Sus scrofa: one gene and its partner. The main gene of each other region encodes a partner of the protein of the gene in region 2 in a complex. Links are inferred from orthologs where the notes say so. Each region holds a gene or a part of one and is shown on either strand. Other genes may lie near its edges. The genes, in order: RGS8 and GNAI3.

Region 1 (3,590 bases), on a different chromosome or scaffold from region 2:
TTCTCCTGGGGCAGTGGCAGGGGCGACAAGGCTGCTCTTAGAATGTTTCGTGTTTCCCTAACTCTGGACTGTTCCAATGGATATGCACCTCGTGTTCGACAGCAGAGTTGGCAGCAGATGCACGTTTCGTGTGTAAACAACGTTTAAAATACCCTGTTTGAGACTCTGATCGTTAAATTAATTCTGGCAGCTTAAGCTAAGGATGGATTTTCACCTGTGGGGACAGGGGACTCCTACCTGATCTAACCAGGAACACCCGAATGAGGCTGCGGAGCTCCGAATGTGGCGTTCCACAGGTCCCTTCAGGAGGCCTGCGTTCTCGCTTCTCGATGGTTCGTGCAGACCCACCAACCCTCGCTCGCAGATACGCACAGATATACGGCAGGGCGGGGGACCCTAACAGCCAGTGGGACTCAAGAGCCTTCTTGGCCTTGTCTAGCGGGGGCCAAGGAAGGAAGAGATTCAGGAAGTTACTGGATCGGGATGCACACTGGAACTCTGGTGTATCGAAAAGGGCCCCAACCCCCACTCGACGGGAGGAAAGGATTCAGGCCAGGTCTCAGTTCCCTGCACTCCAGCACGGATGCCTCAGCTGGTGCTCGTTGCTTTCGTCAAGCTGAAGGTTTGCGAGCTCTGCCGTGAATCCAAATCCAGCGGCTGTGAATCACGCCAATGGTACCTCCAGCACGTTCTCCGTGATTCAGTCCACCTGGAGTCCAGCCTCCTCTTCTGCTTTCTGGCCCCTCTGCTGAGGTTTCATCTTCTCAGCACTGCAGTCTTGGGCCAAAGCGAGCTTTTGCCTGGGCAGCTGGAATAGGTTTCCTGCATCTCGCTCATCCTCCAAAGGAGATTTTCCCGACGTATTTCTAAGAGCGGCGCCAGGGCACCACGAAGCCATTTTAGGAAGGTTCTCCACACCCAGAGGTTCACAGTGATCTTAGCCTCACCTCCTGTTCCATGTTCAGTTCCCCAAAGTCAGCGACCAAGACGGAAGCTGCTGATCGGCCAAGACGGCCCTCGAGCGAGGGACCTTTCCTAGAAAGCATGCTCCCAGGAAGCAAGCAGGAAAGAGAGGTACAGCCTAAGTCCCCATTCTCCCCCATCATAATTACATGACCTGCATGGAAGGGGGAAGAGGGAGAGACAGGGAAAGTACTAGGCACCGTGAGAGCTGTCCGTGCTGCGGGAATTCACCTGCCTTTACCAAGCTGTCCATTAGTCTAAGAGATCAGTGAAGCATGATGCCACAGGAGGGTGAGGGCATTAAGCAAGAGAGAGGTTACACAGTGCCCCACTGCACAAAAGTCCACTGGGGCTACATCCCCGGCTCATTCAACTTCTGGAAAACTTCTTGGTAGAATGGAGGAAGATTTGCAAGCTGAATCTTTCTTAACAGCAGCTCCACATCAGAAGTCATTGAGGGACATCTCGCAAGATGCTTTCTGGAGATGCAAGAGGATGGGAGTCTTGTAAATTTCCTAGGCTGAGACGGGCAGGGAGCCCAGCTTTACACACTCGTCCTACGGAAATGGAAGAAACAGCCAACTCCATGGAGCGTGCCCCTTCCCTCAGAGGCCACCTGTCAGCAACAACGCTAACAACCTGGATTCCACCGAGACCTCTCTCCTAAACTGTGAGGCCCAGCGCCCAGGACTGGCCATTCCACTGTGACAGCAAATCACAAGAGTGGGCCGGCGTCTTCTAGCTCTTTCTCACAGGGCGACAGGACACGTTAGAGAGTCGGGAATCCTAACTGAGGAGGGTGTGGACGTGGTGGAAACTGCATTTGCACTATTTACAGAGTAGCCCAGCAGAGCAAATGTGCCTTCTCAGGGGCAGTGACCCAAGGCAGGATGGAGGGCAAGCTGCCGACCTGAGAAGGGTGACGGTGACAAGGTGCTACCACTAACCAAGACACAAACGTGGGTAAATGGAATAGAGTCCGAGCTCTGGTGGCTGAATCATACTCTGGAATGGCCCTTCATCCCTTCCTCACTCCCAGCCTCCCAACCGCAATGCCACTGCTTTTGAATACCTATGACATTTCACATTAGAATATGGTCTTGGCAGCAAGGGGAGGGGAAAGCCGGTGAATCTCCAAGAGTCCCCATCTGAGGTCTAACTCAGCCTCCTCTGGCTCTGGGACAGCAAATCTAAGTACATTTTAGACCTCAGGAACCGGGGGTAAGAGTCTTTCTCCATGAGACTGTGTACTTTTCCCTGGGCTTGGTCAAAGCACGTCAGGGACGGCTCTTGCATGTTCTTCCTTGTGGCTTCTCGGGTCTGGAAGTCTATGTTTACCTGGAGACACAAACAGACAGCATAGTCACAGGCCCTCGAGGGCCAAGCCACCTGGCAGCTGGTCCTACAGCATAATTATTAATGATAGCATCTTAAATACGCAGGGTTATTCAGGCTTTTCAAACCGCTTTCTTGAAGGTCACCCATCCCTTTCGATCCCAGGAGGAGCCTCGTGAGGTTTGAAGACCAGATACTCTTTGCCGAATTTAAAAGTAAGGATACTGAAGACAGAGATATGAAAAAGCTGGTCTAAGACACCATGGGAAATACCTAGGGCAAAATCCCAAAGTCCTCAACTCCTAATCCAGAGGTCTTCACCACTGTCAGGTAAAGAGTTAATCTGGAGACAAGCATTAATGCGGGGTCCCTAAGGCAAGTTTGACCTTTCCTTCTTCCTCAGTCACTAAGGAAACATGCCCCAAGGAGAAAGATGATGTTTAGAATGTGCATCTCTGTCCAGCCAGCATTAACAGGAGCCCAGAGCATTCTGGCCACTGGCCAAAGCCCTCCTCTATCCCAAGTCAAAGCAGAATCGAAGAGGTCTAGGTATGTAATGCATCACAACGCATAGACAGCAGATATTTTTCTTCTATAAAACCTTCCCGGGAAGTTCCTGTCCTATTAACGAATCCGACTAGGAACCATGAGGTTGCGGGTTCGATCCCTGGCCTTGCTCAGGGGGTTAAGGATCTAGCGTTGCCATGAGTTGTGGTGTAGGTCACAGATGTGGCTTGGATCCTGCATTGCTGTGGTGTAGGCCGGTGGCTACAGCTCCAATTCAACCCCTGGCCTGGGAACCTCCATGTGCAGTGGGAGCGGCCCTAGAAAAGGCAAAAAAAGACAAAAAAAAAAAAAAAAAAAAACCTTCCTGGGTAAAACTCTGTTTTATAACTCAGAATAGCAGTACCTAGAAAGTCATATTATTATATAAGTGGTTATAATAAATTATCACAAAATAATACAAATAACTGTAATAACTCCTTAATAAACATGACCAATATTGAATAGGTGTTTGATCCCTAATACTCAGAGTAGTCTTAAAAGGTAGGTAATATTGTACCCTTTTACATCAGGGTAAATGTGACTCAGAGAGACTAGGTAACTTGACAAAGGTCACACAGCAAGCAAGTGGTAAAAATGACAGTGGAATAAGATTCCAAAGTACATGCTCATTCCATCAAGCTGTGCTACCTTCTACCAGGAAAACCAACATGGATGCAGCATCATCTATCTTGCAGAATCCCTAGAGAAACATAGTTCCTGCTGGTATATGTTTAACAGACAGACAG
Region 2 (3,819 bases):
GTATCATACATACCAAAAGTCAGTAGAGTAAGCACTGAAATGGATTAATGAAAGGAGGGAAAAAAGACCAGAAAAATAAAGAGATGAATGATAAAACTCGAGGTAGTAACCATAATAACTACTGTTTGAGTGTTTACTGGTGCCAGACACTATCCTAAACATCCTGAAGTACATTAACTCATTTAACCCTCATAACACTCCCGTTAGTACTGTTACTATCCCAGATGAAGAAACTGAGGCACAAAGATGTTAAATAATTTACCTAAGAGCACACTACTAACAAATGGGGACTGGAACTCTAACTCCAGTAACCAACTCTTACCCATCACACCACTCTGCCTTTCAAAATGGTTTATCTCTCTAATAAAAAAAAAGAACAATGAAAAAATATAAATCCCCAACTTGCTTTCTGCTTCCAGATTCAAAAGTTTGTTTTCCCTTTTTTTTTTAATTGAGATATAATTGAAATACATTTTTCTTACTTTAAGGAAAACGTTTTAGAGATTATGGAAAAAAGTAAATTATATTTTAGGATAAGACTCTAAGAACCTAATATCTAAACCCAAAACTTAAACCGTATTTTCTAACTCCAAGTTTTATTTTAACCTAATCAATAACAACAAAGCTTCAATTGTTCACGCACTTTATGTTCCACTCGAGGTTAGTGTTAGTCCACTATTCCCTTCAGGGTGGGGGGCGCTTACTTGCTATTAGGAATCAGCTGCTGAACTTCTGTCAGCAGTGTCCTCATCTACCATCTAGAGTAAGAGGAGGACCTGCACTGCTTTGTCTTTTAACTAGTACTAGGAGGTATGCATACAAATGATTAGCTACTCTTAAGACATATGTTTGATGACAATCATAAAATGTTTTAAGTGTAAACTCTGCCAAGCTGGTTCATTGTACCAGATCTATAGTGACTAGGAGTCTATTGCCAGAGAATTTTCTCCTTAGAGAGTGAGAGAAATAAGACACTGTTGAATAATTTCTCAATGTATGTTTGAAAAAGAATAGTCATCTCATCTCTCCATGACCCAACTTTTTCTTTTGGCTGATCTTACGCAGTTCTTTTCAACCTTTAGTCCTGACACCCGGAATGAGGCACTCATAAACTGGTTCTAATACAAGGTCATACCATATATAGGTTTTAGGAAAGCTAAGATTATATATTTCGCCACGGATCTTTCAAGGGGAGACACATACTGGTACACCATTAATTTCATTTTGCTTCTCCATTTTTTTCTATAAAGTCCATAAAACTGAACCCTGTGAAGTTCCCAAGGTGGGCTTTCCACACATATTAACATTTACAGTATCATTCACTAACAGATCAACATTTTATAAACATTACCTCATAACTGAGAGGCAAGTAAGCAATTACACAATGCCTTGCATATAGGAGATGCTCAATAAATGTTTGAATAAATGGATAGTGGTTTTGCCTAGAGAGAAGAGGAAAAGGAAGAAATGATAGTACTTCATAACAGATATCTATATGCCAGCAATAAAGTGGGTGCAGCACCTTAATTAGATCTGGCTATTTATCCTGACATAAAAAGACCAACAGGATTTACCTACCTAAAGATCAATCTATGACATCAACAAAAAAGTTTCCCACACTAAATAAATAAAAGTCACAACATATAATTATAAATGGATTACTAACCTTATAGCACACAAAGAGATATCTCATTCTTTCAGTTTCTTGGGTGATGATTTATGGAGCCTTTGCTACTTTTATTAAATAAATTCATCAGTATAAGCGGTTCCTCTATTCTAAAAATATTCAGCTGAACTGCTATTTTCCTGTATCAATTTTCAAATCTGTTTTGGTGTATTAAGATTTTAAGACCTCAACTAGTATTTAATAATACCTAAAGTCTGTGTGAATTTTGCAAATCCCACGAAGCAATTTTTTTCAAGAGAAAATAGAGAATCTGAGCTAGAAGTTACATTTGCATGCAACAGTGCTGAATATCGCATTCTACATACAAGCATAATGAAGCAGCTAAAAAGGACATCATACACTGAAGGGGAAAAGTTTACTCCTAACCTCAAAGGTCACAAAAGCAGAAGACAGGAACCATAAAGACAGTTCTATTATTTACATAAGACTGTTGACGCAGAGACAAGCTGAAGCTAGAATTACTAATGCTGATGAGAAAATCCACTGCATTAGAATACAAGAATTTTCTCTCTCTATAACAATAATTGTTTACATGTCATCATGCCTCTCCAAAATACCTCTAGCCCCAGATCAATATTCATTCTGCACTGTATTAGGAAGCTGGTTGTGCATAATACTTACTGTGTACAAACCAAAGGCCACGACAATATTAGCACCGTCCCATTAAACTTAAAGTGTGATCCAAGAAATGACTGACCCTGATAAAAAGCACTTCTACTTTAACATCAAAATGCCAGAACAAAGCCACATAATTAAACCAAAACACTGGTTTTCTATCTTTTTAGTATTGTTGTTACCCTTCTAAACAACAAACATTCAATACCTGTTTTGGTGATTCCAACAAAAAAGCAGCTGAAAAGAATAAAATTAAAAATAAAATAAATTGGTAACCATGTGATTACTTTTATTGACATGTAAGTTACAGTTTCATTTTGAATTTAAATTCCTGCAAATGGACAAAAATATTTGATGCTATTTAAAGAAAGAAGAAATGTTTACATTGACACTTAAAATAGTCAAATACTGGCTGATGAACATAAGTTTCTAAATCAAGGAATACTGCCTAGAAAAATGTTACCCTGATGAAGAGACTAACTAGAGCAAAGATACATCTAGGAAGAGGCTAAGGACTTACTTGAAGTACAGGTCTTTGAAAGTGAAGTGTGTCTCCACAATGCCTGTGGTCTTCACTCTTGTCCGCAGGACATCTTGCTGAGTTGGAATGTAGTTGGTTTGGGATATTCTATCCAAATCATTTAGGTAACTAAATAAGTAAAATACAAATTTATTTTATTTAGTAAAGCCAACCATACACACAGCAAGTCCATAGACTAAACTCATTCCTTGCCAAAAGTGAATTCCGAATCTGTCACTAAAGTGGCAGAACAAATCAGATCTTCAATATCATAGAAATAATGAGGAAAAAGTGAACCAAACATAGGACAATTAAAGTAGTTTTTATATACACTACAATAAAGTGGTTTTAATTTTACCAAAATTAAACTGTGAAAGCCAATTTAAAACAACATGGAAATGCTATTCTTATTAAAGATCCCTGAAATTTAATATTAAGTCAACTAGGCACAGCCTACTTATAAAACCCTAACCAAAACAAAAGCCTTCAGACATTTAAAGTTAATGGGTCATTCGTATGTTTAAACATTTGCTAGGACATTAGAAAATAGCTATCTGGATTACTAGAATTAAAAAGAACTAAGCTCAATAAGAATGAGTATCTCCTGTTTTCACTCAAGAAAAAAAAAAAGCTGTAGGTTTAATTTTTTAAAAACCTATGCCGGAGTTCCCGTCGTGGCGCAGTGGTTAACGAACCCGACTAGGAACCATGAGGTTGCGGGTTCGGTCCCTGCCCTTGCTCAGTGGGTTAATGATCCGGCGTTGCCGGGAGCTGTGGTGTAGGTTGCAGACGCGGCTCGGATCCTGCGTTGCTGTGGCTCTGGCGTAGGCCGGTGGCTACAGCTCCGATTCAATCCCTAGCCTGGGAACCTCCATATGCCGCGGGAGCGGCCCAAGAAATAGCAACAATAACAAAAGACAAAAAAAAAAAAAAAAAAAAAAAAAAAAAAAACCTATGCCAAAAACTAATTGTAAATACCTCCAAAGAAACTTCACTT

The links.
Region 1: the proteins of GNAI3 (region 2) and RGS8 are in contact, whole or in part, in a crystal structure (PDB 2ODE), measured with the Homo sapiens proteins. The link is inferred for Sus scrofa from reciprocal best matches to the Homo sapiens genes GNAI3 and RGS8. Residues at the interface, in NP_006487.1 of Homo sapiens: Glu65, Gln68, Ser75, Val179, Lys180, Thr181, Thr182, Gly183, Ile184, Val185, Gln204, Ser206, Glu207, Lys209, Lys210, His213, Ala235, Glu236, Asp237, Glu238; in NP_001095920.1 of Homo sapiens: Thr76, Glu77, Phe78, Ser79, Glu81, Asn82, Ala117, Pro118, Glu120, Val121, Asn122, Ile123, Asp124, Phe125, Gln126, Arg128, Leu153, Lys156, Asp157, Ser158, Arg161, Arg164.

The regions. Positions count from the first base shown.
Region 1 is NC_010451.4:123,956,048-123,959,637, forward strand, and holds part of RGS8 (regulator of G-protein signaling 8), read right to left. Parts: intron 2,302-3,590; coding exon 2,119-2,301; 3' UTR 1-2,118. UniProt on the Homo sapiens protein: Regulates G protein-coupled receptor signaling cascades, including signaling via muscarinic acetylcholine receptor CHRM2 and dopamine receptor DRD2.
Region 2 is NC_010446.5:110,540,761-110,544,579, forward strand, and holds part of GNAI3 (guanine nucleotide-binding protein G(k) subunit alpha), read right to left. Parts: intron 2,952-3,819; coding exon 2,823-2,951; intron 1-2,822. UniProt on the Homo sapiens protein: Heterotrimeric guanine nucleotide-binding proteins (G proteins) function as transducers downstream of G protein-coupled receptors (GPCRs) in numerous signaling cascades.